4 linked regions of the Rhinolophus ferrumequinum genome follow. The protein of the gene in region 2 purifies or fractionates together with the protein of the main gene of each other region. This does not show direct contact. Links are inferred from orthologs where the notes say so. Each region holds a gene or a part of one and is shown on either strand. Other genes may lie near its edges.

What was found.
Region 1: the proteins of RBPJ (region 2) and RITA1 purify together in Homo sapiens (affinity purification with mass spectrometry; 4 studies listed by BioGRID and IntAct, with this or other methods). This does not show direct contact. The link is inferred for Rhinolophus ferrumequinum from reciprocal best matches to the Homo sapiens genes RBPJ and RITA1.
Region 3: the proteins of RBPJ (region 2) and NOTCH2 purify together in Homo sapiens (affinity purification with mass spectrometry; 3 studies listed by BioGRID and IntAct, counting the BioPlex papers as one, with this or other methods). This does not show direct contact. The link is inferred for Rhinolophus ferrumequinum from reciprocal best matches to the Homo sapiens genes RBPJ and NOTCH2.
Region 4: the proteins of RBPJ (region 2) and FHL1 purify together in Homo sapiens (affinity purification with western blotting; 4 studies listed by BioGRID and IntAct, with this or other methods). This does not show direct contact. The link is inferred for Rhinolophus ferrumequinum from reciprocal best matches to the Homo sapiens genes RBPJ and FHL1.

The regions. Positions count from the first base shown.
Region 1 is NC_046308.1:7,990,428-7,998,250, reverse strand, and holds the start of RITA1 (RBPJ-interacting and tubulin-associated protein 1), read right to left. Parts: upstream 3,017-7,823; 5' UTR 2,875-3,016; intron 2,843-2,874; exon of another isoform or gene 2,698-2,842; intron 2,534-2,697; 5' UTR 2,396-2,533; intron 1,968-2,395; 5' UTR 1,904-1,967; coding exon 1,602-1,903; intron 1-1,601. Other genes in the region: ATP-dependent RNA helicase DDX54, read left to right, coding at 3,167-3,340, 5,705-5,834, 7,277-7,347, 7,569-7,757. UniProt on the Homo sapiens protein: Tubulin-binding protein that acts as a negative regulator of Notch signaling pathway.
Region 2 is NC_046288.1:70,461,642-70,468,722, forward strand, and holds the start of RBPJ (recombining binding protein suppressor of hairless), read right to left. Parts: upstream 3,005-7,081; 5' UTR 2,953-3,004; coding exon 2,894-2,952; intron 2,757-2,893; exon of another isoform or gene 2,681-2,756; coding exon of another isoform or gene 2,661-2,680; intron 1-2,660. UniProt on the Homo sapiens protein: Transcriptional regulator that plays a central role in Notch signaling, a signaling pathway involved in cell-cell communication that regulates a broad spectrum of cell-fate determinations.
Region 3 is NC_046305.1:49,116,055-49,123,551, reverse strand, and holds the start of NOTCH2 (neurogenic locus notch homolog protein 2), read left to right. Parts: upstream 1-4,489; 5' UTR 4,490-5,059; coding exon 5,060-5,132; intron 5,133-7,497. UniProt on the Homo sapiens protein: Functions as a receptor for membrane-bound ligands Jagged-1 (JAG1), Jagged-2 (JAG2) and Delta-1 (DLL1) to regulate cell-fate determination.
Region 4 is NC_046284.1:20,056,181-20,063,737, reverse strand, and holds the start of FHL1 (four and a half LIM domains protein 1), read left to right. Parts: upstream 1-4,543; 5' UTR 4,544-4,674; coding exon 4,675-4,696; intron 4,697-7,557.

The sequences.
Region 1 (7,823 bases), on a different chromosome or scaffold from region 2:
GACAAGATTCAAACCCAGCCTGGCTCAAGGAGCCAAGCTCTCCATCAGTAAATCAGACCTTTAGGCCTCTCACCTTTAATTAGATTTATTCAGCAATTATTTTTTAAATTAATTCCACAAATATTCATGGCATACCTGTGAGTCAGGTCCCTGGTTTTTTTGGCCAGGACTGAAAAGTGCTTCCATTCCCAAACTTCAAATCTTTGAAAAGTCAGCCTTTTGTCACTTGATTCAACTATTCAAAACACGTCTGGTTGAAGCCTGTGTCTGTCTGGTGCTGCAGTTTTTGCTCAGTAACACCTCTACCTCTTATGCACCTTCTCACTTGACACCCTCTACTTCTCAGCATCCAGCACAAAACTCCATTCTTTAGGAGAGCATGGGGTTGACCGTAACCTCCCTTGATAAGGACACCATACTTCTGTTAATGCAGCCTATCCTGACATCAGTGTTTTCAGCCATGTTGTAGGTATCAGCGCTGCTAATGCCAACCTGAGCCTGCCTTGTGGTTCACAGAACTTGTCAGGTGCATCGCCCCCAACCTGACATAATAAGGAATCTTGCTTTTATCTCATTGAATTGTATCTCCTTAAATAGACACCATTCCCTTCTCTTGACTACTACGGTATGTCCCTTCTGACTCAGAATGGATCCTAAATATGACTGGTTAGTTGTTATGGACTGAATTGTGTCCTCCTAAAATTCATGTTAAATTTGAAAGAGATAATTAAAGTTAAATGAGATCATAAGGGCGGCGCCCTAATCCAGTAGGAATGATGTTTCTATAAGAAGAGATACCAGGCGTGCACATGCTCAGAGAAAGGCCATGTGAGGACAGCGAAACAGTGACCATCAGCAAGCCGAGGAGAGGCTTCAGGAGAGACCAACAGCTGGCCCCTTGATCTTGGACTTCAAGTCACTAGAACTGTGAGAAATAAACGTCTACTGTTTAAGCCTCCCAGTCTATGGTACTTTGTCATGGAAGCCAGAATTGATTAATATGCCAGTCTCCTGTGTCTCTGTCCAAACCACAGGTAACAAGATAGAGCTCTGTGGCTCACCACTAGATACTTCTCCAGGCTGTATTAACCTGAAATAACCCAAATAATCTAATTATAACCTAATTATAACCATTAGCATCAGCTCCTGATTTTCCAACTTGTTCATGAAAATGCAACAAGAACTGTTTTCAAAATGACTTGCTGAAATGCGGAACTACCACAGCTATGTCATTTCATGATCAGTCACACTAATAATCTTATGCAAACTGCTCTGTCATCTTGGGCAAATCCTGACCTCTCTGGGCCTCAGATGCCTGGTCTGTGACGTTTCGGGATGTGTATTCCACCGTCATAACCTTTATTACTACCATTTATCGAAAATTTCCTAATTGCCTGGTTACCGTGCCAAGCACTGTACACACACCTCACTCATTTAATCCTCTCAACAATCCCATGAGATCCCATTTTTCACCTCAGGAAACTGCGGCTCAGAGACGTCAAGGTGCTTGTCCAAGGTCACACAGCATGTGAATAGCAGGGTTCTAAGAGGAGCCTAGCTGGCTACACTGAGTGCAGGAGTGCATTTCCCCATCCTGTTACCTGTATTTGTTCTTCTTCCTTGGTGTGAGGGTCGCGGTACTGCCCCTGGAGGAGGTGGTCTCAAAGCTTCTGTTGGCCCCCGAGGCCTGTGAAGACTCTGTGCCCACTCCTTTGGTTCTGTTGGCCTTCTCCACCCAGGGTGGGTCAAAGTCTGGTAGTGTGGGCCGGGTGCCCACAGGGCTGCCAAACAAAGTCTCATCCACATACGATGGCTTGGCCTTGACTTGATAGCCACCCCGGCAGCGGTGCTGGCGGTGAAGGCTCTGCATCCCAGTAATGGTCAGCTCCACAGGGGTCTTCATGCCGTCCGTAGTCCCAGGTGACAGTGGGCCTGCTCTGCCTGCCAGGCCCTGCCTCCAGGGCTCCCTGTGAAAGGGGGTCAGAGTGCCACCCCTGTGTCATCGGCAGTGCCAGCAGATCAGGGATGGCAGTCTCTTAGGTCCCCAAGGTTCTCCCTCAACAGCAAAAGGGTCAGGTTCTCCCTCAAGCAGTCCTCCTCAAAGGGGAACTGCCAACCCCAGGGGACATTTCAGAAATTTGTTTGACTTGTTTTTAGTTGTCAGAATGATGGGGGTGGATGGGTCTTACTAGCAAGTGTTTAATAATTATGTATTCCTAGCATACAGTGTGTGCTCAATATTTATAGAACGCTTACGGGGATAAAGGAAAGATGGGACCTGTGCCCATTTTGGCACCAACCAGAAAACAAACAATGGGGCGAGACAGGACAGGTCCCTACATCCTGTATATATCTATGGGGAAGTAATAATAATCCGTTTTGATCTCATACCTACCTCGTGCAAAGAGCTTTAGAAACATCGTCTCATTTAACCCTCTCAATAGTCTTGGGAAGAAACTTTATGTCCATTCTACAGATGACAAAACTGAGGCTTCAAAAGGTGAAGTCACATGTGTAAGTCACACCTACAAAACTAAAATAGAAGTGGAATTGGAACCTGACAGGAGTCCAGAGCTTGTGCACTTAACCATTCTACTATAGGGGGATCCCTCCCCCACCCCCCACTACCCCACACGCCCCAATCCCCAAGTCAATGCCCGGGTTGACGTCCGACGTCCCTGAATTCTTATTTCCTACCAGAGCATCTTGTCTCACGGATGCCGGCTGTAACCCTCAGTGCCCCTCCCCACCAGCTCTGGACTCCTCTGTGGGGGTGCCTGAGCACCCGCGGTGCATCCATGACCCCCGTTTATCTGGAGTCGGAATCCCGGAGCCCAGAACCCCCCGCCCCCGGAACCGCGCGGACTGACTCACCCCGGGTAGCCAGGCCCTAGCGACGTGTGCTCCGCGCGCGTCTCAAACAGCAACCAGCCAGAGGCGGGGCGACACGGCCGGAACCATTGGCTCCCGGGAGGGGGTCCCCCTTCTGAACGCTCCCGGAGATGCCCAAAGCCTCCGAGAGGGGCTTCGCGGGCCAGTCAGGGGATCGTGAGAGGGCGCGCCGAGCTCCCGCGGCGGCAGAAGGGGCGGGAGCGCGGCCAGGGCCGCGCCGGTGGTACGTCCCCGCAGACTCCGCCCCTTCCCGTTTCCTGGCGCCGGGGCCCGCATGGCGGCGGGTACTAGCCCGGCGGCTGGACCGCGGTCCCGAGCTGCCATGGCCCAGTGGAGGAAGAAAAAGGGGCTCCGGAAACGCCGGGGCGCGGCCCCCCAGGCCCGCAGCAGCGACTCGGAAGACGGCGAGTTTGAGATCCAGGCGGAAGATGACACCCGCGCCCAGAAGGTTAGCGCGGGGCTGGGACACACGTTGGAGCCCGAGCCCCGGCTCCGCGCAGCGCCCCGCGGCCTCCGTTTCCCCAGCTGGGGAGTGGGCACTGCGGAGGGTGGGGAGGGGTCGCCTGGCCAGGAGTCCGGCAGGTTTGCCGGCCTGAGCACGTGTCTCGGGCCTGTCAAGCCCCGGGTCCTGGCGGCTGGAGCCGGCGCGTTCCAGAGGCTAGGGCCTTGGGGCCTTCTTGGCCGGCTTTTGTTCGCGCCCCTCATTGGCTATCTCCTACACAGGGGCGGGTCCTAGTTCCGTTTCGTCCAATGAAAAGTGCGGATTTTGAAGCTCTGAGTTTGGAGTTTAGGGGATTCTTGAGAGGTTGAATTTAGGGGAGGCCGGACGCCGCAGTTTGGGACAGTGACGCCCCCAAACCTCTGGGAAACTAATAGTAATAAATTAAACTTGGGTTTGTTTACCGTTTACTGTGTGCCAGGCTCTGTGCTAAGAGTTTTAAGGAGCCTTATCATTTATTCCTCACACCAACATTGTAAGCTAAGTATTGTCGTCCCATTTTCCAGAGGAAGAAGCTGAGGCCTAGAGGGTTAAAGGAACTTGACCAAGACCTCATAGCTTGTAAGTAGGAGAGGCAGGATTCAAACCCGGGACTGTCTGGTTCCAGGGCCTGTGCTATTTCCGCTACTGAGTGCCAACTGTAGGCAAATGGGGAAGGAGGGCAGGTGTGTGAACACCAAGCAGGCAGAACTAGCTCCTTATGCCCCTCCGCCCTGTGCCCAGCCAGTGCCTGGCACAGAGCAGCTCTGGGTAGGTAGGTGAACAAGCAGGTGTTTATATGAAGAGGGGTCTACACTCCAAGGCAGGGACCAGACCTTGTCCCACTGTTCCCCATCAAGCCAGTGCCTGGCACATAGTAGGTGCTCTAAATTTGGAGTAACTGATAAAGGTAATGAGCAGCACAGGAGGAGGGCAGAGTACTAAGTACCAAAGAGGAGCCCACATATGTGCGTGGTTCAGATCAAGGGCTTTGTCCTGGCACAGCCCTGTGTTCAAATCTGGCCCAATCCTTTTTTACTGGCTGTGGGACATTAGAAAAGTTGCTTAACCTCTCTGAGCCACATCTGTAGAAGGCAGAAGTTTCCACTTGTGTAGAACGCAGATGAGTATGTGTACGTCACAGACTGTGAAAGGGATTAAATGACGGTATTCGTATTTTCTGCTCATTCCGTAAATATTGGTGGGACACGGGTGTGTTCAGACACTTTGTTGTCATGTGTCTAGAGCACATGACTGTAAAGAACCAGATGGTAAATGTTTTAGGTTTTGCAGGCCTGTATAAGGTCACTGTCTCCTTTGTTTGATTTTTTACAATCTTTTAAAATGTAAAAACCATCCTTAGCTCATAGACAGGCTGCAGCTCTGACCTAGATGGTGTAGTGGACCATAGAGGGTCACAATGCAAAGAGCACAGACTCTGATCCCCCACTTGCTGTCTAGCAGGTGACTTTGGGTCGGTCACTTCACTGCTCTGTGCCTCAGTTGCCTTCTCTGTAAAATGGATAAAATAATAGTTCTCGTTTCCCAGGGTACTAGTGAGGATTAAGTGGGTTAATCCACAGCAGCAGCTGGCTTAGAATAAGTGCCGTGTAAGTTCTAGCCATTATTATGAATTAGTGCTCCATACGTGTTATTTCTGAGAGGAAGGGGATAGTCCTGTAGTCTGAGAAGGCTCCCCAGAGGAGGCGTCTGGGTTGGACTCAGCTGTGTTAGGACAAGTGGGTTCTGGATGGGCAGAGAAGAGGCAGGCATGACAGAGACTGGAGTTAGGGAGAGGTAATGAATCAGAAAGAAGATTGGGGAGAGGGGGCAAGGCAGCTTGGAAAAATCTAGTACCTCCACACATAGTAGATGTTTTGATGGGCTCTGTAGGGTTTTTAATTTTGAAGGCTTTGATTGACAGGCTAGAATGATGATTCTGATATCACCATGTGCTGGGCGCCATTCTAAGCGTCCCGCATACCTGTTTAGTCTTCACAGCACCCTGTGAGGCATATACTTTTGTCATCCTTGTTTCCCAGATGTGGAAACACAGACTCAGGGGGATTAAGTCCCTTGTATGAGGTCTCACAGCTGGTAAGTGACAGAGTTGGGATTGAAACGCAGGCAGTCTGTCTGCAGATCCCACTCTCTGCCCCTTTGCCCTGTCTGGCCCAGTCAAAAGAGAGCCTGCTAGCAGAGAAGTCATGTAACCTGGCAGGCGAGTCATAGGCTAGAATGGGGGGCAGACTGGGAACAGGACAGCCCCCCTCCCTGCCACCAGTGGTCTCATGGTGCCTGGAGTTTTGCTGCCTCTCTGTTCCTCCCCCGCAGCTGGGACCTGGCAGACCACTGCCCACCTTCCCAACCTCAGAATGCACCTCGGACGTGGAGCCTGACATGCGAGAAATGGTGCGAGCCCAGAACAAGAAGAAGAAGAAATCGGGAGGCTTCCAGTCCATGGGTGGGTGAGCCAGCCATCTGGGGATTTGGGGAGTAGCAGTGGGGCCCTCCGTGCTCTGCTCTGGGCCCAACACTGTGGTAGGTGATGGGTTGACCAAGGCAGCAGACATGGTGTCCAAGCCAGTCAGGGCCTTCTTGTGGGGACAACAGGCCTGACACAATGAGAAAACGGTTAGAGCAGGACTGATGGTGACGCTGGTGCAGGTACAGGCAGAGACATTCGGGATTTACTGCGTGACGATGGCATTTCAGAGCAGAGAGGGAAAGATGGAATAATTGGGTGGGATTGGGACACCCGGCTAGATGGCAATAAAGCTGAACTCTCTTTCTTGCTGCTTACAAGTCAGCATCTGGAGCAAAGATTTAAATATCAAGATGAACATTTTTATCATCTTAGAAAGGAAAAGAAGGCCTTTCTAAGTGTGACCCAAGCACTGTTTAATTGGACTCTTTTTTCAGTTAGACACATGTATGCCAAAAAACACTGTAAACTAAGTTAAAGTAAAGTGCTATCAGGAATATATTGCAACCTATGGGACACACAGAGAGTAAGTATCCTTTATATGCTAAGAGCTTTAACAAATCAATAAGAAAAGGACAGGCACCCCAGAGAGAGCTGAGTGAAGAACATGAATAGTCAGCTCACAAAAGGAATCTAGACAGCCAATTACTATATTAAAAATGTGCTAACATTCATCAAAAATCAAAGAAAAAAGCAAATAAAAACATCTACATGTGGTTATTTTTCGCCTTTCTGAATTACCAAGGTAATTGCCCAGAAAGCAGCTAAAATCACGGCGCTTTCCTGTCTCTGGGCCTCCCACCCTCACAAGCCCAAGTCGCATCCCGTCTCCAGAGCCACCTCCTCGCCCTGATAGCACCATGTGGCTCATTTGTCAGTGGCCATGCTCGCAGCTATCACCGGCCCTTGTCATGGAATACTCTCTTCTTTTAATTATAAATTACAGACGTATGAAAAATGGAATCCTGCGGGTCTCCACGTACCCATCACCAACTTCAGTGGTGTTCAACTTGGCCTTGCTTTGGCCACGCCCCACTTACTTGTCCCCATCGTCCCGGAGGAGTCTGAAGCGAGTCTTGGAATCCACTCCTTGTACCCCTACCTACTTCCCGCTTCCAAGAGAGGCAGGACTGTACACGCCTGACACAAGCACACAGTACTGTCCACTACTCCATCAGCAGTTACATGCCCAGTTGTCTCCCTGCACTAAGCGTGTGTTCAGACAGATTTCACGTAAGGTGCATATCCCACGCTAGGTAGATTTGTCTTCTTAAATCTCAGTCTTATCAGTTTTGCTCTATGGCTTTTCTTTGTTCTTGCCGTTTGTTTGATGATGTAAGTCATTTGTCCTGTGTAGCTTTCTGGAGTGTGGTGCCGTGGGGGCTCCCCCGGCCCCCTGGCCATTCCCGTGTCTTTCCCAGGCTTGAGCTACCCAGTATTCAAAGGCATCATGAAGAAGGGCTACAAGGTGCCGACACCCATCCAGAGGAAGGTACGCAGCCTGGACGGCGGATGGGTTTGGGAGGAGGGGATAAGCCACTTGGCCCTGGAGAGCCACCCCTTGTCCTGGCTGTGACCTCTCTCGCCCCTTTTATTCTGAAGCTGGGTGACAGGCCACTTCCCATTCACTGAGATCCCCTACTTCGCCCACTCCTTGGGGACTTGAAGCCCTGGGTCACGTGCTTGGGTGCTCACCCACTCATTCCTCTCCAGACCATCCCGGTGATCCTGGATGGCAAGGACGTGGTGGCTATGGCCCGGACGGGCAGTGGCAAGACAGCATGCTTCCTCATCCCCATGTTTGAGCGACTCAAGACCCGCAGCGCCCAGACCGGGGCCCGAGCGCTCATTCTCTCACCCACCCGAGAGCTGGCCCTGCAGACCATGAAGTTCACCAAGGAGGTAGGTCGGGGCTGGGGGAAAGGGGCTGCTGGGCTGGGCTGGGACCAGTGGGGCGCCTAGACTGGG
Region 2 (7,081 bases):
CAAAAATGACTTAATGAATTAGAGCTGGCAAGAGTGGCTTCCCCCAAAACCATCTTTTTTCTTAGCCACTTAAAAGACATTGATAGAAATCTGTTAGTATAAGAGGTAACATTTTAATAAACGTAACTGCTTAAAATCTAACACCTAGAAGCACATTAGAATAGATCTGAAAATACTAATAGTGAGCCTCATATTTTTCCTGCACTCTCCTGCAATATGCATGAGCAATAAATTTACAGCTTTAATCATCAATTATCAGAAAGAAAGCCTCCCAACCACAGCTCACGCCCTATGCTTCTAAATATGCTATTGTTTGGTATAATTTAGTAAAGATACTGTTTCATTTGGTCACCAAATAAAGATCTTACACAATTTAGAAACAAAAAAACACAACTTGGTTTGTAAAAGTTGCTTTTATGATGTTTGTGTGATCATTCTTATATGCATAAGTCAGAGCAAAATACCTTCCATTATTATTACACTTTGCTTACAGGGAGAAACAACAGTGTGCTCAAGATTTTACCTTCAAAAGAATGATTATGCACTAAAAACAAGTAAAGGAGAAATGATTGTTGGTAAAAATCCAGTCATGGAACCCAGACTGCAAATTTTGACAAAAGTCTCACGTATCAATCATGAAACATGAGTTTCCGTCAATTAAAATTCATACTAATTCCAATCACAGCCTTCAAAATAAATAAAACTGCTTTCCACTATACCAACATTCCTCACGCTACATTTTGCACATGCTCTACTAGTGGCATTTTATGTGGAACTTTAGTTTACAAATGATAATCCAGGTGATTTTAAGGGTAACATTATCTTCTAAAAGTCGTGATAAATTAGTGGGGGGAAGGGAACCTCCTGAAATACACATTCAGTCTAGCAATCCTGGTAAATCTAATACCGTATTCCCAGGACCAGAATATTGAGGCCACTTAAATACACCACACCACTTTCTCCCTACCCACCCCCACAACTCCAAGCTTTTAACACTACCATAACAATAAGCACCCCGAACGATTTAAAGCTCCTGTAACATTAAAGCTCCTTTACCTTAAGACTATTACTTAAATGTCTTTTCATTGCATTTCATTAATGCATTCCACAAAGATTCTAGAAGCAGTATTCATCAACCAGAACTGCAGGCTTAAGCGCTTTCCTCATTTCAACTCCAAAGATGGGGCAGAGGGTTGTCATAAATCTACAGAGCAAAAGCGAATAATTGTAAACTACAATGATGAAGAAAAAGTTAAACATTTGTATCAAATTCACAAGCAGGATGCCTTCCTTCTTCCTTACGAAGCAGGAGTTACTGGTGAAAATAACTAAACTCCACACCTAGAGTCTAGAAAATGCTGAAATTCTCCACCGCAACATTTACAAGTTTTTAACAGCAAAATTCATTTCACTGCTATTCACATGCCAAACGAATACCCCATGTGGATATCTGAAACTATTCTCACACGCCAAAAGAAAAGGAAAACACACACACACACCTTGCGCTTCTCCTAACCTTCCGTCCTACGATACCCTCAGGTAACCCAGACGCAAAACTACCACCACGACCGCTGCCCTTGGCCTAGGCCGCCAGAAACCAGAGGCCGGAGGGGCAATCACCAAGAGACCCGATCTTTTTCCAGCGTTACTGTTTCCAAGCAAAACAAGCACGGGCCCAGAGAGAGGCGAAGAAAACTGGAGACACTGTAATCCCGAGAGAAATGGGGAGGAGGGGTGTGTGTAATCCCGAGAGAAAAGGGTGCGGAGAGAAGGAGCGCCGAGCAGGAAAGTAAGTATCCCCACGCATCTTTCAGACCCACAAAAACAAGCCGAGGGTCTGCCCGCACGTACAAGCACCAGATGGAGTCCCCGGGGCTGAGACAGTTCAGCCGACACACACTGTGGGGAATGGATAAATCAATCGATGGGAGGGGAACGGGGGTGCCAAGCGAATAAGCCACTGGGTGGGAAAGACAAAGCCTGTGGGGATGATCAAAGACAACACAGAAAGGTGAGAGTAATACACGAGAAAAATAATAGATGAAAAAGGAAAAGAGAGAAATCTGGTGCCTGGGCTGTGGCAGGTCACTTAACTGCCGAATAGAGAGGGGCACAACAAAGGGGCACGGGAGGAAGGACAGCCGAAGGCAGGACATGGAGAAGGGATGCGGGGCGCGATGGGTCGGACAAAGCGCCCAAGGCGGCGAAACAAAGGGCCGGGGGTAGAGAGTCGCGGGGGGCAACTGGGAAAGACAAAGCGCCCGGGACCGGGGGCACCGGCCGGGCGAGGAGGCGACGACGATCCAGAGAAACAAAGCTGCGTGGGGCTGAGAGGCAGGGCCCGCGGGAGGCAGCGCGGAAGACGAGCGGAGGGCACGGCGCCCGTGGGCCCCGCGCGCCCCGCCGCACTTACGCCCGCACCCGCCGGCCTCGCCGCCGCCGCCGCCGCCGCCGCCCGCCCTCACGCGCCGGAGCCAGAGCCAAGGCGGCGCAGAGCGGGCTGCGCACGGCCACACGCCGCCGCGCTCGGCGCACGCGACGCAGCTCCCGCGCCCCCCGGACGCCAAGCGCGCTGCGGCCCCCGAACCCGCCTCCCGTCGCGGGCTCGGAGACGCCCGCAACTTTCCCGGTTCCCAGCGCTCCGATTCCCTCAGACTTACCCTGTCACAACAGGCGCCATCTTCCACAAACTCTCGCCAAAACTCCAACCCTCGCGAGATTCCCCCCGACGCCTGCCCTGGTCCCTCTCCCCCGCCCCTTCCCTTTTTCCTCACTCCGTGATTCCACCCAGCCCCCGCGCTCCTTTTCCCCTAGCAGCCGCCGCGAAGAGCCAGACGCCTCGCGCCGCCCGCGAAGTAGGGGATCCTGCTCGCTGCCTTCCCTGGAAACCTACCCAAGCGATGGAGCATGCGCAGGCGGCTCCTCCACGGGCGAGCCCGCCGTGTGGTCCATGGGGAGCGCTCCGGTTATCCGGGTTTTGAGACGTGCCTTGAAGGACGTACGTGGAGACTGAGGAAAACCGGAGGGGATTACAACGGGGACGGGGAATGGAGGGGTCAGGAGGCGGGGCCGAAGCGAAGGGAGGAGGGGTCCTGGGAAAATCTGCCGCGTTTCACAGGCCTAGATGAAACACCTCCTCAAATGGGTGTTTTCCAAGTGGCTTCCCGCTCACTCTGGTTCCCAGCCCTTTTCATTCATTCAAACGTTCATTGGACGCCTCCTTTATGCTAATGTCAGCGTTAGGTGCTGGAGCTACACTGATGCCTGGAGTTGGGGCGAGTGACCAAACGAGGAACTATCATTCATTCGACCCTCTTGGCTAGCGGAGAGGCGGACAAGAGCACAGTGTAGTTTGACCCTCCAGAACTATGTAAAGGGAAAACTTTTGCCGTTGAGCTCTGTCGCCTTAGTTTTCTTTTCCTTGCATGAGAAATGAGGTCAGGCCAAGACCTCTGGCAAAGACATGCCTAATGTCCACCTCGCATACCACGCCAGAGCGCCGCGTAGTTTTCTCCGGCGGTAAAAAATGCGTTGGAATTGAGAACCACCACTTCCCCGCCCCGCACTCCAGCCAGAGGTCCCGCTCGGACAGAGAGCTGCCTGCGCTGTGAGCCTCCCTAGGACTTCATCACAGCTCCCAGCCTTGCATGAACCCAGGTGTATAAAGGAACAGACTCTGCACAGGCCTTCCCGCGAGCCAGGCACAGTCGAGGATACTGCTCGCTGCCCGAAATGTACTTCAGGCGACCTAAGCCTGGAAGCCTCCGAGCGAGCTTGGCCCGACTGGGCATTTAGCAAAAAGGTGCAAAGCCCCAATCCCCGCCCTCCCTACCAGCAGCACCCCTTTCTACCCTCTACCCCGCCTTGCCCTTTCAATTCCTAGAGATTCCCAGAACCAGCACTGCCTCCCGCAGGGAGCCCCAAAACCCGGAGAACTGGAATCCACTGCCCGAAACCTGCTGAACGCGCTGCAGGACTGGCGCGGCACGCGCGAGCGGCACTGCGCATGTGCCCAATGCGGGCAGCTTAGTCTCACGCTACACCTCCTTCCCACCGCCTTCCACTACTCGACTCAGACACAACACGGGCCGTGGGAAATTTCGTAAACCTCGCGAGAATGCGCCCACTGTTGCCTATGCTTTCGCCCCAAATCTCGCGGAGCCCAGGCGGGACAGGTGTTTGTCTAGTGCAGCTCCGGGTGCTGTTCGTGCCGCGCGTGCCCGGGCGGCGGGCGGCGGGCGCGGGCGGGATGAGAAGGGCAGGGAGCGGCTCGCCGCGGAGGCGAGGCGGGTGGGCGCGTGGCGGGGAGCGGGGGGAGGAGGGAGGCCGCGAGGGTGCTCGATGTGTTGCACCTACATGCCGCGTGACGCTTTGTGGAAGAAAAATGGGTCGGGTCGGGAAACTCTAAAGGAAGAAGGGGAAGCCAGGAGATTAGAAACTCGTGGTGCGGGTGGTTAAGAGGTGAAACTCTAGGGTAGGAGGAGCCCCAGGCGGATCCCCCGGGGAGGTTTCCTGTCGCCCTCTACGAACCTGGTACTTTCCTAAACCGTGTTAGACGCCGCGTCCCCGGCCTCCGGGAGCTGACGGCCCCCAGTGTCGGGTTTGAGTCATGCTTCTGAGTCACCTAGTCTGGCCCTCACTTTGAAACAAGTTCAGATTATTTTAGCTACTCTCTTCTAGCAATTGGTTATATTCTTTCTCATCTACCCGCTGGCCTCGCGAGTTGGGTACAGAAAAAAAGCTGCTCCCTGCGCTCTCGCATTGTTGCCTTTACAGATTCTGCCTCCCATTTAAGGACACTTTTTTTTTTTCTAATTTCTTCCCCGCTAATCTCTTCCTAGCCTTTTAAAGTGATCTCTACATAACAGTTTCTGTTCTTGTTTTTTTTTTTTTTCTCCCACTAATATGACTTAAAATACTGGTTTTGCTTTCATTCACTTTTCAGTTTGTTGAAATATTCATTCCATTGTAAGTATTGTTTCATCAGGTGCTTTAGTGACAACTTTTAAATGCATACCTTCTTTTTGGATTATTTGTGTGTCCAGTGAATTCCTGGTTACATTCTCCAATCAGGCACATTCCAGATTGCCCTGGTGTACTTTTGTACCAGCCTAGCCTAGTGTTGTCTAAGAACTCGTGTCTTGGTGACATTATAGACCCACAAATGTAAAATTGAATTCCGTTTTGATTTTTGGAGGACAGTGAGTCCTTTGATTGGGGTTCCTGTTCTGCTGGTTGTATAGTGGATGAGAAATCAAATTTTTGAATTGTTTTCAAGGTTTTTAGTTTGTATGTGTGAGTGTTCATTTACCTTACCCTTTGATTAAATATTTCACACAGCAAAAGAGAAGATATAAGGACACTTACTATAATAGCTCAATGCCAGTCGGATGTGGAACACGACAGCTCAGGAGGACAATGCCCATGGGCACAGATTCCTTGGAGCCTTCATCCCAAGACGACATTTCAGTCATGGTCTAGTCCGGGCCATTAATCTAATTTGGAACCCTGGCCATCGGAGAACCCCAGCCATGGAAAGCCAGGGCAAGCACAATGCAAATCACAACTCCTCTTCACCCTAAAACACGCTCCACCTGCATTCTTTCCCCATCCCAGTAAATGACAACTCCATCCTTCCTCTCCATTAAGCCAAGAACCGCAGAGCCATTCTTGCCACCTTTTCCTCTCACGTCCAACATCTCATCTAACAAAATATGCTGGCTCCACTTTCAAAATAGGACCCACAGTTGGAACAGTTCCCCACCTCCATGGTGACCAGCCCAGTCCAAGCCATCTCATTTCTTACCTGCTTTACAGGAAGTCTAACTGGTTCTCCCTTCCACTCTTGCCCTCCCTCAGTCTATTCCCAACAGAGCATTCAGTAACCCTGTAGAACTCGCCAATGGTTTTCCCATATCACTATGAGGACCTACACAATCTGGCCTGCCACCCTGACCTCCCTGATCTCTACTCTTCCCCTTAGCTGTAACCAGCAGACTTTCTTGCTGTTCCTAGAACATAACAACTCCTGCCTTTGCCCTTTCCTCAGATGCTATATGGCTCGTTCCTTCACTACTTTCAGGTCTTTGCTTAAATGTCACCTCAGTGAGGCCTACCCTGACCACCCTTCACTAAAGTGACTCCTCACACTCTGTGTTCCCTCCTTTATTTTCCCTACAGGGCTTATCATAAGCTAACACAGTATATATCTTACCAGTGTGTTGTGTTTACTCTCTGCCTCCTCCCATTGTAATGTAATCTTAATGAGGGCAGGGACTTCTGTCTTTGTATTCATTGTTTGAGGCTCAGCCACTAGAACAATGCCTGGTGCACGATAGATGCTCAGTAAGCATTTGTAGACTGAATAAGCTGTCTTCCACTTTAGAGCAGAGCAGAAATGATTCTGAACACTCACGAAGCCTTCTAGGGTTCAAAACAGTATTGGGATTAGACCAGACTTGAATACCCCAGAGCCAGCCGGCCTGCGGAGGAGAAAAGAGCCTATAGAGCAATTGCCTGTGTTGACTTTCTGCCAAAAAATTTCTTACTCCTGGGTTAGACCAGAAGATGAGCCTACATTCATGTGAAGGGTTTCCATTACTCTCCATTTTAGAGCCTCAGGAATGAAAACACTATTGACAGGATATTAAAAAACAGGTATTCATGCGTGTTGCTAGTGAGCGTGAAAATGGATGTAAGCTTTATAAAACCAATTTAGATAAAATTTAACGACTACCTGTTAATTCTACAATTCCATGTCTAGAAATCTACCTAACAAATATACTCACATGTGTGAAATTACTTATATTGCAGCATCGTTGATGGGAGACAATATTGGTTAACAACCTAAATGTCAAGAGATGTCTTAATTTTTAAAAAGTCATGATATATTCATAGAATTGGATAGTATGCATTTGTTAATAAGCTGAGGTTACTTTTTATGTACTTGTGTGGAAGGATCACAAAAAACAAGGTGCAAAATGGTGATAGATAAATATATACTTATTTGCCTATATGTATCTAAAATGGTTCTGGAAGAACACAATAGAAACTGTAAACAGTGACTGCTTCTCTCTGAGAC
Region 3 (7,497 bases), on a different chromosome or scaffold from region 2:
TACACTAAAAATTGTCTTGGACGAGCGTCACTCTGTTGCAGAAAGAAACCGTGGACTGAGACTGAATCAGAAGTCAGACGTAGGGGGGTTTGTCTCAGCTCTGTCACTAACTACTTATTCAACCTCAGGCAAGACACCTAAACTCTCAGTTTCCTCATCTGGGAAATGGGGATAATAATGACTGGCTTGGCTATTTCCCACGATCGCTTTGAGAATCAAATGAGATAATAACTTAAAAGTGTTTTTTAGAAAGCCTAAAGCACTGCACAAATGGAAGGCATTGTTTTGCAAAGAAACCTTTCTTTTCATTCCTGTGTCCCTGGACACTTCATCACACACCGCTGGGTTCCTGGGTTATGTGCTGAGACGTGTGGAGTAGCTCAACCTAGGCTTGATGTGGACCCCAGAATCTGTTCTGCAACATCTATAGTGTTTACCTGATGCATCCTGGAATGCTCCAGAACCCCTGGACATTCTGTCACGCTCTCCAATTCACACGGCTATACACGCCCCTCATTCCACGTTTATTTAAAACTCACATTGTTGTGCACGTCTGTGCACGAACGACCGTGCTAGGAACTGAGGCAAAATAGACAAATAACACAGTCTCTCTGCCCTTGAGGGGTTTTACAGCCTCCTGGGTCTGAGAGAACAGACATGAGAACAAAGTAAGTGCCAATTCTGCATTTGTCTTGGGGAGACAACTTTACATGTGAATTTTAATTAATAAAGACATACATGCATATTTTCAGTTTCAACTACAACGAAAACTAGGGGTGGCCCTTATTCATGTTTTCTATTATTAATAGTCTGTAGATTTTAATGTGAGCTTGGAGATTGAGAAAAAAAAATTTTTTTCCAGATCAGTGAAGCTATGGAACTTGAAGAGCAATCACTGTGATTAGTTATAGGATCACCTGGTAGTTTTCCTGCCAATTTCTCCTATAAAGTAGAACTTGCTTTGACTCAAAGCAGTGTCTATGGGGAAAACCATTCCGCACTCCAGTTGAGCCGTTAAAACTGCAGAGCACGTTTGGGCCTGAAATCTCCAGGCACATCCTGACATTTCATGGCCTCAGCTGCTACTCCTGTTTTGAGACAGCACCACAAGACCCCCTGATTTCTGCTAGGGATCGGGGAACCAGTCACCTAAACGCACATAGTGGAATTTAGGCTTAGCTTGCGGGAGAGCTCAGTAGTAGGAAGCCTATTTCAACGCGGTTCCATCCTTTAAATCAGTCAGGCTCCTCCAGCTCTCGCAAAAGCAGTCAACAGCCACTGCTGCTTCTGGAGAACGCAGTTTCCCTCTTCCAGCTCCATCGATTTCTTATCTTGCCTGCTTATTTAATCTACCAAACCTCCTTTTCCTTCTCCTGTGTTTTCTATATCCGGGAGTAGCTCACCAAGCCTCAGGATATGGAAGTCATTGCTGATGGCCCATCCACCTTTCCTCTCTCATCTAAGTGGGTACTAACTTTAGGAGCCAAAGCCCGGCTTTTCTGCATTCCCACGGCCCCTGCCTAAGTCCTTGCCTTCCCACTTTAGGGAACAGGCTCTGGTCTCTATTGTTCACCAGCCTCCGTACTTGTTGCAAAGAAAGCTCTCTTTTAATTCCTGCTTCGGCAAACACTTCATCACACATCCCTGGGTTATGTGCTGAGATGCGTGGTGTAGCTCAACCTAAGCTTGATATGGACCCCAGAATCTGCCTGGAAGAGTTTAGGCCACTGAACAGGAGAAGTCTCCTCTTCCTCTTTACCTGATTAATCGTTTGGTCCTCTACTTCTTAGACCAGCTGTTGAGATCTTCCCGGAAGCCTTCCCTGATTGCCCCTGGGCGGAGACAGGTCACAGTCCCTCAGCTGTCACACTGGGTCTTAATTGTTGATTACTCATCTTTCTGGCTTTATCCCTGGACTGCTCATACCAGAACTGGCCCACAGTAAATACTCATCCAAATGCCAGTTGACTTACTGGTTCTCAACTCTCAGTCTTTGTCAATTCCAGTTTCTTCCCTTGATTTTCAGCTCCCCCTTTTTTTGTTTTCTTTTTTACCAATTTATATCCATAGCTTCCTTCAAAACATATTTTTAAAAACATCTCCTCCATCATACCCTTCTCCTACTTCCCTTCATAACATTTTACTCTTTACTCTCCTTGTCCTTATGGGGAATGTATGCAATAAGTCTAACGTTATAACAAATCCCACACAAGTTATTACACATGTAACATAATGATCGCTTTCTTTCAAAGAGTCACCTTGAGAAATTCCGCACCTATTGTCATAGTGATGTCACAGCCAGTCGTTTCCAGACCTGCTCTTTGGGGATGATGACATTTACATCCTTCTGAATATATCTCAATAGGGACAAATTTAATCTTTGTAGGTGGTTTTTAAAATTTGTATACAGCCAAGTCACTACGAACTATATTTAGTGAGGAAAGAGAACGATCAAGCTGGTAACTATCAGTCAGCAGCTAAACCGTCCTGTTATTATCTTTCTCTGAACATATTTGCACAAGGGAAATTCCAAAACAATTGGACTGTGTTGTTTTTGCAAAGAGTTTCTAGCATCCCAAGGTGACTAGTTTCACTCATAACACTTGCTTATCTATTATAAAGTGCTTATGAAAATCCGGTTGGGAACTTCAGAGGCCGCTGATCATACTGCTTTGTGCTTGTTCAGTGCCATTTTACCTTCTAGTTCAACATCTATTATGGGCTGGGCTCTGGGAACGAATGAGGCCGTGGGCCTTACCCGTCGGGACCTCCTGATCTAGAGGAAAAGATAGAAATACAGACAGTCCTGTGTGAAAAATAGAGATGAGTGTCAGATAAAGAAGCAGGACAGTGGAGGGACTGTCTGTCCGAGGTAGGAATTGGTTACAAGGTCGGCAAAGCCTTCTCAGGGCTGAAGGATAAATGATTAGAAGTTCAAGAGGAGGAGGGGAGGGGACTACAAGTCATTCCGCGTCAAGGGAACAGAAGGTACAGAGACTGAAGGAAGGAGATATGTTTGGGGGGGAATCTCAACTCATGCAATACTGTTATTGTGTAAAGTTCACAATGGGGCAGAGGGGACAAGCGAGGGGGCCCAGGGAAGGGAAGGCCTTGTATTGACCATTTTTAGAAGTTTGGACTTTGTCCTCTAGGAGCCCGGGAGAGGCTCTGTGGGTAGGATTTCCCTTCCCGACAGGATCGTAAACCTCCACATCCAATTAGTCACATTGGGTTGCCCCACCCGCGTCTTTTCCTTTTTCTTTTTCTTCGAGATTGTCCCCAGTCCATCCCTCCCTTTCTATTTTGACATCTACCTCAGTAGTGCAGGCCTTCATCAGCCATGCCCGCCTGGACTGTTTCACAAACTCCTCACTAGCCCTCGGACTCCCGTTCGTTCACCTTTTGCGCCTGACAATTTTGCGCAGGATTATCAGAGCAACCTTCCTTTCCATCAAGTCTCACTCCTGTGCGAAGACCTTCAATGGTTTTTCTATGACCTGAGAGATAACTATCCCCCCTTCCTACCCACCCCTCCCTCTTTTTCAGCTTGTCGTTCAGGGTCCTGGTCCCGACCCCCTTTCCCTCCTTGACTCCTGTCACTGCGAATAGTGCCAGAACTCATCTACTTCTTCCCTTATCTGTACCCTTTTATGGGGGCTCTCCCAGAGGAGAATGTTACGGCCACACCAACTTTTTCTTGGATTTATTTCAACTCTTTTCTTACAAAAACCAAGCCCACTTGTACGCATGCCTGATTCCATCCCTCATTCTCCTGCGCTGGAAGTAACCGCTATGCTGGTTATATTCTTTTACTATATACTGTGTGGTGTGCATTCATAAATAATCTATGGCATTGTTTTGAAATATAAATAGATATACATGGTATACTTTATATCTCCTTGTGCAATTGGTTTTTTCACTACCATTTTATTTTTGAAATGTATTTCTATTGGCGTATATGAACATGCTCTTTCAATTGCTGTGTATTTTATTTTCTAAATATACGATACATTATCCATCCTTTCCTCTATGGGTGGGCATTGAGGCTGTTCCCCATGTTTGGTATTGCCAACAATGTTACAATGAATATCCGTAGCTGCTCTCCTCGTCCTTACAAATTTTCCTAACCTTTCAAAATCCTGCTCTCATCCCAGTTCTTCCATGAAAGCCTACCCACTGCAGCAACGTCTAAATCCTCAAAAGTAGCTTGAGCATCATGAGACTTTAGTACCATTCCTACGGTGCCCAGCAAAGTAAGGCGCTTAAGAAACATTTGCTAAACGAGTGAATGAATGCGTGAAGAATGAATGAATGAATGAATGAATGAATGAATGAGGCAGCACAACCCAGCTGATGGCTCTGTTCATTTTAAATGGGCTTTGGCGCCCTGGCCCCCATTTCCTTCTGTGACAGCACAGGCCGTCCGCCGCATTCCTCCGGCCACCCCGGGGTGTGTGGATGTGTGTGTGTGTGTGACACGGGCGATCCCTGGCTCCCTGGATGAGGGCCGGCTCTCCGGGCAAGTTCACGATCTCAGTGCCCCTAGCGTCTGAAGTTCAGCGTCCTAACACCCACCCCTGTTGGCAGAGGCCGGGCCCAGCGAGGCGCTCCAGCGCTGAAGGCGTTAAGGCGCGTCGGGACTCGACGCGGGCCGGGCCGGCGGCCGAGGCTGAGGACTCGTAGTAGATCCCTCCGCGCGCGGCTCGGCCGGCGCTTCTTCCTGCGGGAAACCCCTGGGCGCCGCAGGCGGCCGCCGGCCTGGGCGGCAGGGGGCGGGGTTTGCGGTGGGAGGAGGCGGCCGAGGCGGAAGGACACACGAGACTGCACACTCGAGAAAGTTAGAGCCGAACTTCGGGCGGCGGCTGAGGCGGCGTCCCGGGCACGGCTGACTCGGGGTGCGGGGAGTGGAGGCGTCTAGCCTGAGCTTCGGGGCCAGCGCGAGGCCGGGCGCCACCGGGGCGGGAGGAGGAGCGCAGAAAGTGGGGGCTCCTCTGTTGGGACCCCCTCTCCATGTGGATCTGCCCAGGCGGCGGCGGCGGCGGAGGAGGCGACCGAGAAGATGCCCGCCCTGCACCCCGCGCGGCTGTGGGCGCTGCTGGCGCTCTGGCTGTGCCGCGCGGCCCCTGCGCGTGGTGAGTATCGGGCCCGGGGGTGCTGTCCCCGCGCCCTGGTCGCGCACCGCCGCCCCCGCCCGGCCATCTGGGGCGCCCGGTCCCCCCCTTTGGTCCCCTCCGTGCGAGAAGGCCGGGCTCTGCCGCCGGCGCGGATTGAGGCCACTGGGTTCCAGAAAGTTGGGGCATCGTGGGGGCCCCCTGAGCGCGCCCCTGCCCCCGCGCTCCCCGCCGCCGCCTGTTCCCTGCGGCCGGTGGCCCCACACACGCCTCCTTGGCCGGAGGGAGGCCGGGCAGCGAGGCTCAGAAACTCCCCTTCGTGGGCGCTGGAGTTCTAGGAGTTGGGCAGTCTTGCCCTTTTGGTTCCGCGTTTCCTGGGGTTGAAGGGGAACCGAGGGCGGGCTGCCTGCGACAAACCCCCGCTGGCCGCCGACCGCAAAGGGGCTGAGCGGAGGAATGCCAGGTTCTGGCGTGGGGGGGTCGGCGAGGGCAGGGCCTCCCAGCCCAACGGCTTGCACCTTCACGGCCACCAGTAGCTGTGCCAAAGGGGAGGCACGCAGTCCGGGTGGGTGGGGTCGGTTTGGATGGGGCCAGGGTTTCGCGGGGCGCCCGAGTCTGACACTCCGAATCCACGGGCGGGACGAATCCGATGTGTTGCACGGGGCCTTTGAAAGGTGGAGGCAGGAACAGTAGGAGAACTGGTGGGGCTGCACGCTGGGCCACAGGATTTAAAAATCTCAACTGCTGTTATTCTTTCCGAGGCGCGCAGCTCAGGCGCTATTGCGGTCTGTGTCCAGCCCCAGGAATGTGGTGTGACGATCACCAACTCCTCTAACCTGGCAGCCGGATTTGCTGCTCTTTTGGCAGGTTGGGGGTGGGGCATGGGTGGGTGAGGAACAGTGGAGAGGGTCATTCAAAGTGCTGCCTTCGCAGGCCTCTTTCGGGTTGGATATGTGCGACAATTTCTGAACGCGGTTGGACCAAGGAAAGGAAATGCAGTCATTCCTTACCCATCCCACCCACAATTTCAGATTCCAAGTTTCCTCCGACCGGGTAGTGGAAGGCGCTTGGGTTTTGGAGCTTCATAAATAATCCTGGGTTCAAATCCAGCTCCGCTCTATGAACGCCCCCAATAAAATGGGAATGAAATTACCCAGCTAATAGGATTCCTCAAGAGAATGGTGTATTAAACCCATGGCAGTCAAAAGGTGTTCCGAAAGGGCAGGGCTGGGTTTTGGTTTTCTCTGAATCTCTGCTTCCAGTGGGATGATAGCTTGTGTCTGTTTGTGAAGCCGCAAGCGGCCCCTGCTTTTCCTAGCCTAATATGAAGGAGTATTTTACCTTGACCAAAAAACTGGTACATGAGCTATGTCTCTTTACAAAGAAAAGGTTAAGAAGATGATGAGCTTCAGAAAAATTTGCTCTTTGTTCACTTGCAACAGGCGGGGGACCTGTCCATCATCGATGTTGGAAAGAGAACAAGGTTATTTATCACCGTGCTGGGCTGTTCAGCACCAACGACTGTGTTTCCCTGAAAATAAAACCTAGCCGGTTAATCAGCTCTAATGCGTCTTTTGGAGCAACAATTAATATAAGACCCGGTCTTATTTTACTATAAGACCCGGTCTTATCTAACATAATATAAGACTGGGTCTTATATTAATTTTTGCTCCAAAAGACACATTAGAGCTGATTGTCCGGCTAGGTCTTATTTTCCAGGAAACACAGTAGGTCCTTGGGAAGTTCATATTCCATACAACTCTAGGTCCCTAAGAATTTAAGAAGTGGGCCAGGGGCTGATGTGATGATGATCGAAACTGTTGTTTCAGAAGCATTTAACAAAGCACGTAAATGGTGTTTTTGCCTTTCCTTTTTCTTTGAGTGGAAAGCTTTAGTATAAGTCTAGATTTAGGATAGAGAGGAGTATAAACAACGGGTTAGTTTGAGAGTTACAATCCTTGGTCTACCACTAACTTGTTTTAGTAAAGAACTCAACCTTCATGATTTGTAGGCTCCTCACCTATGGAATAGAAATACAGAAGCAACCTATTTCAGACAGTTGGAGGGAATAAGAAATATGATTGCAGAGATTTGCAAAATTAAGTGTGAAATGATAAGACGGATGTCAGCCTTCTCTCATTCTAGAACCTCAGTATATAGAAAGACATCCTTTTTTATACTTCTGCACTGATGAGGTATTGCTATGACTAACTTTTAGGTGGACAAATTGAGTGTTAGTCAATTAGTTCAAAGGACAAGATTTAAATATTTTGATTTTTAGGCAGGTGTTCTTCTGGTGCTAAACTGCAATAGAAGAGATTAGAAACTTGTTTCTTAGTACAAATCTTAAACCTTTTTCAGAGTCTGGCAGTGAAGCCTTCTTCAG
Region 4 (7,557 bases), on a different chromosome or scaffold from region 2:
CCTAAAGATTGACAGGAACATGAGATGGCTGAAGCTGTACTGTCCTTTTTCTGGCAAGAACTCATAGGACAAGAAATACTCGGGAGAGCTCAACATCGAATCCCATCATATCATAGTGCATGACTGGATGCCTTAAGATTGCAGTTGGAGTCACTCAGTAAAATTGTTGGCGGAGGGACTAGTAGCCTGAGAAAGTTATACTGAGAAAAAACTTGCAGTGTGTTAATTATTAGTAGTAGGCATGTGGAGAAAAGAAGAAGCTAAAAAAAAAACAAACAAAAAAAAACATCAGACCTCTGATAAATCCACAAAGGCTCCATTCCAGATTGTCATAAGCCTCTTGCCTCTGGCCATGACTAATGGCCAGTAAATGTCTGAATAACTTTTCAACTATTTGGAAATTTCTTCAGTAAAAGAAAAAATATAGTAAAGGGAAAAGGGCGACCACAAGCCAAGCTGTGAACCAGGAACTCCCGAGGTGTAGGCCAACTAGGTCACTGAATTTGCCGTGTTTGACTCTTAGGTTGCACCACTTTGAACTTTGGAAGTTTGATCCTCCCAGCGGTGTTTCTGAGGTAGAGTCTGGGATTAGATTGCAGGGTGAGAATTCCCATAAACGTGATTCCATCGTAACTGCACTGTTAGCCCTAGTTCTTTCTCGACTTGACAACTGGATCCCATTAAAGGGGGTTAGTTATTGACATCTCAGAAGAACCTCACTGTAAAGCTCCAAGTAAAGCGCCACTCTTCCCCACACCAGTGGTGCCTCCCAAATTCCCCATTATTTCCTGATCACCCAGAATCACCACATCGGAAGGATTGCCAGCTCCTTCTCCTCCAACACATCTAACCAGTCCTTTTGAGCCCTGCCCCGTGGTGCGCCTTCCATCTCCTTTCCCTTTCATGCCTGTTGCCATTGTTGCTCTCATTCAGTTTCCCCTTATGTCTCATCTGGACAACAGCAATACCCTTCTAGACTTTCCCTGCTTCCAGACTTCGTTCCCTAAGACTGACTCTTCTTGTCACTGCTCATATTTCCCTGATCTCACCCTTCTCTTGCACCAATTGCAAAAAGACCCTCCGAGCTCTGGCTTTCCGTTTCTTTCTAGCTTGATGTGCCACTGCAGATGTATCCTGTGCTCCTGCCCGCACTGGGCTGCATCCTGCTTCGGGAGCAGGCCCTGTGTTCTCGTATTTTTGTTCATACTGTGCCTTTTGTTGGAATTCCCTCTCCTCTTCTCCTTGTGCTAAGGCCTTACCCATTTTTCAGGGACCAGGTCAAATAGTATCACATTCATCAAGTCTTCTCTGATCTCTCCAAACCTAATACAATCGCTGCCTGTGATAAATCTATACCACTTTATATCTCTTGTAATACTCACCATGCTATGTTTTGCGTGACAGTCATTTGTATATTGATCTTGATACACTTGGAAGGAAGGACTGTATCTTACTCTTTGTGAGCAGCAAAATATTCTACACCACATAGTAGGACATCTCTTTAATAAGTGTTCGTCCTCCAAAATAAATGAATAGATGGGGTGGTATCATCTACAAGTGGGGCCCGTGGGTAGGTTAAAATGTAACTGCTGAGTACGTGGAAGACAAGAATCTGAGTAGGTGGAAGACAAGTAAATGGCTCCCAGAGGACCACATGCAAGAGGGAGCTTAGGACTTGTGATGCCTAGCTCGCTGAAAAATCATCCTGATGTACACTGGAGTGTGAAAGACTAAAAGGTCTGAAATGTGGCCTTCAGACACTAAAGAGATTTGTTAATCAAACACCAGCCAGCTCCACCAACAGTATATAAAGGCGCTTTGTAAACAGTACAGGATTATTAAGGATATTATTAACATCATACTGTTAATATGTAATGAAGTTGGCTCAGACGCTAATGAAACCACTGATTGTTTGGGTGTGTGCTAAATAACCGTCAAGGTTTCTGAACCACTGATCCAAGGCAGGATAAAATTACCAGCGATTCTTACTGAGAAATTGTGTTTCACCTAACAAAGAGCCCGTTCTGTTTGGGTTTTGTGAAAATTGTGGTTTTGTCACTTGACATGGGCATGGGGACAAATGTCAGAGCAGGCAGTGGTCATGCTTCATGAAGTTTATAGGAAGGCAGAGTTAACCTGGTTGAAGTAAATTGCAGATGGAATAAATGCTGTTGTAGGGCCAAGCTCCCAGCTCACGCTGGCTTGTAGCCGACTAATTAATTAATGGTCAGGAGTAATTCTCTTGTTCTTGCGTTTCAGGCAAAATAGATTTATGTTTATTTGCTAACTTCATAAGGCTATCAGTCTGTCCATATTCCGTTGTTGCTTTTCAAAATGATCAGATGGCTAATGGAACTTGGTAAAAGAATGGGATCAAATATATGGTGATGGAAGGTGAACTGACTCTGGATGGTGAACACACAATGGGATTTATAGAGGATGTAATGCAGAATTGTACACCTGAAATCTAGGTAACTTTATTAACCGTTGTCACCCCAATAAACTTTAATTTAAAAAACAAAACACCTCCTGATACATGGCTTGAAACTAGAATTGACTTCCTTGAGGAAAGCACTTGGCAATCTAAGTTTATTGTTCACAGCACTACAAGAGGCGTTTTTAAAAAATGCTTTGGCTCTACCTAGAAATACACCTCACTAAAATCTAAAATTTGGGGTTCATAAAGGTTGATCATCAAATAAATTAGCATTTCCTTGTGGTGAAAGTTTAAGTTTATTTTAGGGGTGTAGTATTGTTCAGACTGGCCAATCTCCCTGCCATAATATAATCAGGCTGGATAAGAAAGGCTAGAGAGGCGTGCAGGAGTGCAGTGTCACTTCCCTTTTTTCCCAGGCTTATTTTTTTGGACGTTATCATGTCATAAACCTGTTAACATCCTGGCTTCTATTGTTGTGTCATTTTTCCAGCAAACTAGGAGTTACAATTTCATCTGTCTTTTAGAATAGCTTTTCTAAACATTTGAAAAGCGTAAAAGTTGCGAAACTCATTCATTCATTTATCCATGAAGCATGTATTGCTTACCTGCTATCTGTTGGGAATAGCAAAACAAGTAAAGCATGTTCCCGGCCCTCAGCCTGGTAAAAGAGATGTGTGAATAGGGCCAAAACCAGTGACATGCACTAGACAAGGCAGTGTCTATAAGGTACTGAGCCCAGCGCCTGTCCCGGAGTGAAAGTCGGATGCCTTCCTTGAAGTTCAATGACCAAAGTCACTTTTAGGGTTCCAGGTGGGACTGTGTTTTGGTTTTATATGAGGTTTGATTAAGCCTTTTTGCTTCTTTTAATTCATTTTTTTCCAACAAATAGTTACTGTGGGGATCAAATTGGGGCAGGGGCTAGGGAGTGTGGGGCATGGGGAGCATGGTTGCAATTTTAAATAGGGTGGTCAAAGAAGATATCACTGAAAAAGTGACTTGGAGTAAAGCCTTGAAGGAAGTAGAGGTGCAATCAAGAGGCTCGGTGCTGAGGGAATCAGTGTTGGGGCCCTGAGGTGGGGTGTGTCTGAAGGGTGCAAGGGACAGTGCAAATGCCAGTGAGGCTGGAGATGAAGGGAGCGAGGGTAATTGGGGCAGGGATGAGGCTAGAGAATGAACAGGCAGGGGGTTTAGAGGCCATCTTGAGGACCTTGGCTTTTCCTAGAGCTTCTTCCTGATGAGCAGTCTCCAGGCATCGGGCAGCCTGTTGAGCTGCTACAGCATGATACGTGACCATCTTCATTTTCGTCCATATTTTTACTTTTTTTTTTTTTTTTTTTTACTGGGGAATATGGGGGAACAGTGTGTTTTTCCAGGACCCATCAGCTCCATGTCAAGTTGTTGTTTTCAATCTAGTTGTGGAGGGCGCAGCTCACTGGCCCATGGGGGAATCGAACCGGCGACCCTGGTGTTATGAGCACTGCGCTGTAACCACAGTGCCAACCAGCCGCCCCATATTTTTACTTTTATTGCCCCTGACGGTGAGAAGAGATTTCGTTTGTGGGACAAAGTCTCTTCCTTGTCTACATAGCGGTTATAGGCATGTATGTCTGTGTCCTGTCCTGCTCTGTCCAGCACTAAGGAGATATGTGGCTAGAATTGCTCTTTTCAGTAATTCTGCTGATCTGTGGTACATACCAAGGAGGACATACATAATGCCCTTGATCTCCATATTCATAGTGTCTAATCCCTTTTGATTATACTGGTAACATAAGGCTTTCTCTTACAGTTACTTTTATCATTAATGGCACAAAAATGAATTCTTCATAGGGCCAAATGCAAGCTCTTTAGGCATATAAAGTGAGTTAACAAGGGTGGCTCAGCGTTAAGCTATGCTAGAGCTGAGTCCAAATTTTATTCCGGTACAGGGATAACTTTCTATGTGGCCTCTCTGGCTCTGGAGCTAATTTGGATGCTGAGTAGCACCACAGGTATTTATATGTAGTGTTTGGTATTTTTACTGGGTCCTATTCTTCTCCCTTGGATCACCTAAAATGGTTAAGAATTTTCTAGTGGGATTAAGGTTGTGATCTCTGGGGAGGGGTGGGCCATCTGCTCTCGGTTATTTTTGTGTTAGCTGCTTCCCCTTAAATGTATGTTCACAAATGAGCCACAGCCTTCTCAGGTGGGGTCGAGGGAGGACTGGTCTAGGTGCTGCTCCTGAACTTGGTCTCTGAGCCATGGCTTCCCATAGACACTCAGGTAAAAGCTTCGTATTCTTTATCTTCTATTGAGCACAAGTTTGTTAGGGCACTGAATCCATCATTTGCCTAAAAGATACTTTTTGATGAAATGATTTTAGTCTTGTCTAAATAGGTAATAAGACAGCTCATCTCTGTTCTGCCCCTTTAATGCTGTTTCAAAGATAAAAGGTTATTCTTATTCAAGAAAAATTAGCAGTTCGAGTGGCTTATTTTTAAAAAGTATGTAAGCCTTTTACTGTATTGTACATTTTTTAGGACAGCTTATGAAACTGTAAGAGGTTGTGTGAGGAAAGAGGTTTTCTTTGGTTAGAAACTTCTGGTTTTCTTTGGTTATTTATAAGATAACAAATATTTTCTTGACAGTGCTTTAAATCGAACTTAAGGTGTTTAGAAAAGGTCCATCAAATATGGAGCTGGAAGAAGGAATATTTATAACTAAGACAGTCCGTAATGACTTACTATATATCTCCCCTTTCTCTGAATAACCTTTTCAGTCTTCCTGAAAAAACAACTGTGATCCTTTTGATATGACACTTGGGTTATTAATTGTTCTTATCAGGAAAAGGGGCAAATTTTCGGAACCTCTGGACTGTCATTACCATAAGAGCCTTCCTCTTGTTTTGTAAACTGACATTAAGCAAGCCCTTTGGCTGTGGACAAGACACTGCGGAATAGGGGTCAGAGGACTGAAGGTCAGGCAGTCTCCCCGGAAAGCCCGGTTCTCTCAAGTCAGTATGCTGCCAGTCTCTCCTCCGAAGCCAGGAATGCTGCTGTTGCTCTTTGCCCTCTGCCTAAGTAACGGTCCCCTTTCTTAGAAGCCGGGCACTTGGTCCTGTTGCCTACCTTTTAGATTAAGAGACAAAATAATTATTAGTGGCAGTCTTTTGGAAAAATTATTTTTGAAACTTAACAATTGCCTGCCGATACTTAAACAATGGGAATACTTTCGGAAATGTTCTCCTTGCGTGTTTTAAACAAATATGCTGCAATGTAATTCGCTGCCTCAATGCAATGGTCTTCCTTGTTCCCAAGTGTTCAAGCACTGTCTCTGTTTCCCAGGAGCCACTTAACCAACATGGTACCACATGCCCGAGATTGTGGTAATCGGCCAACATACACATTCTCTGGGTATAGGTAAACTATTCAGCTATACTAGTTGTTCCAATGGACCTTGAACGCATGTTAACTGGTAAAGGAACTCCCCATTTTACTTACTAAGTGACAGAATAGGAAAATGATATACTTAAAAGATAATTACAGCACACCCAACCTTGGGTTTTAAATTGTACCAAATCCTGACATTATTCTTGCTTATATTAATATAAATCTGGAGGCTACAACTGTGACTAAATTAGACAAATTAATTGACACCTTTTAGATGAGTTTTTAAATTGGGAACTATTGTTTTGTATTGCATTAGGTTCATAGATCCATGGAAGCAGATGAAAGACAAAGAAAATCCTCACAGAATTTTCTTTCCTCACAGAAAGAAAATCCACATTGCCCCCAAATTGCCTTTGTATGGACAGAATTGGATCAGAATCCAATTTCAGTGACCATCCATGTACTGAGAGGACATTTCAAGTACAAGAAATTGTACTTTTGTTACTGAACACTTTGCAGTCTGCAAAATTGTGTATACGCAAATCCTTTACCCTTCATATGTTTTTTTCCCCTTCAAGTTGAGGTCCGGTGTGGGGGTGCGGTGGGAGGGAAGATCACTTGCCATGTTATTCAGCCATTGATTCCCTTCACCTGCCATTGCCCAGTGGGTTTACACACGCCCGACAGTCTTTTTTTAGGGTGCCATGGAAAATGAAACGGTGGGGTGAGAGGGCGTAATCAAACTGGATTGGCTTCTTAAAATAACTGAAAAATAGTAGTCAGATGATTTGGTGGAGGATGAAACTGAACATTTTGTACTTTTTTTAAATTTTAGTTTCAGGCCACCAAACGACCACCTACTATGGTACTTCATCACAATTAGAGAAACTGAAAACACAGGTTTTATTGCTGCCGGGTTGGAAGCGCTGTTTTCCTATATGGAAGATGGAACATGCTGCACATAATATTAAGGAAAGCTTTTACTATGCACAAAACAGCACTAGAATAGAATCTGGCCCAGTGGAAGTTCAGTGACACATAAGTTTTTCTTTAATAATCTCTATCCAACCCTCCTGATACCAGGTATAATGTAAACTGTGTTACCTGTCTATCAATGATCCACAAGAGATTTATATGGTTTTTTTCCCTAAAGGCCGCATACAAGTGATATTGCTAATAACATTGAATCATTCTGTACATGTTCTATTTTTAAGGGAAAAAAACACTTTCTGATTTTCTAGGAAATTCAATGAAAGACTACTTTTCAGCCATGACTCATGAACTCTGTCTCATGGCAACTATTTAGGTATTTATTCCCAAATGTCTGACGACACCTCCAGGTGCGCGAGCATAACTGTTACACAAGTGTCCTATTCATCGGCTAAGGCTCCATTCCATTTGTTGAATGTTCCATTTGTTGTATATTGCAGGAAAGCAATATACCCTTTCTTTAGAAGCCAATATTTATACACGGAGTGACTAACAGACTGGTATGTTGGACTTAGCAATGAACAGATCAGAAATAACCTGAATTTTTTTTTCCATTTGGGTTGCTGTTCATTGTTTACAATGTACGTTATATATACCATTCAGGGAAAGTACATAGTTAGAAAAATGCTACCTAGTCATAATACTCACTTTTTCCTGAGGCACGAGGCGAAAAATGAATGTTAGCAAGAAATACATGAGAAAATACACATAGAAATACAAGCAAGATTATCAAATACAAATTGAATCTTCTCTAATGAGAGGTTG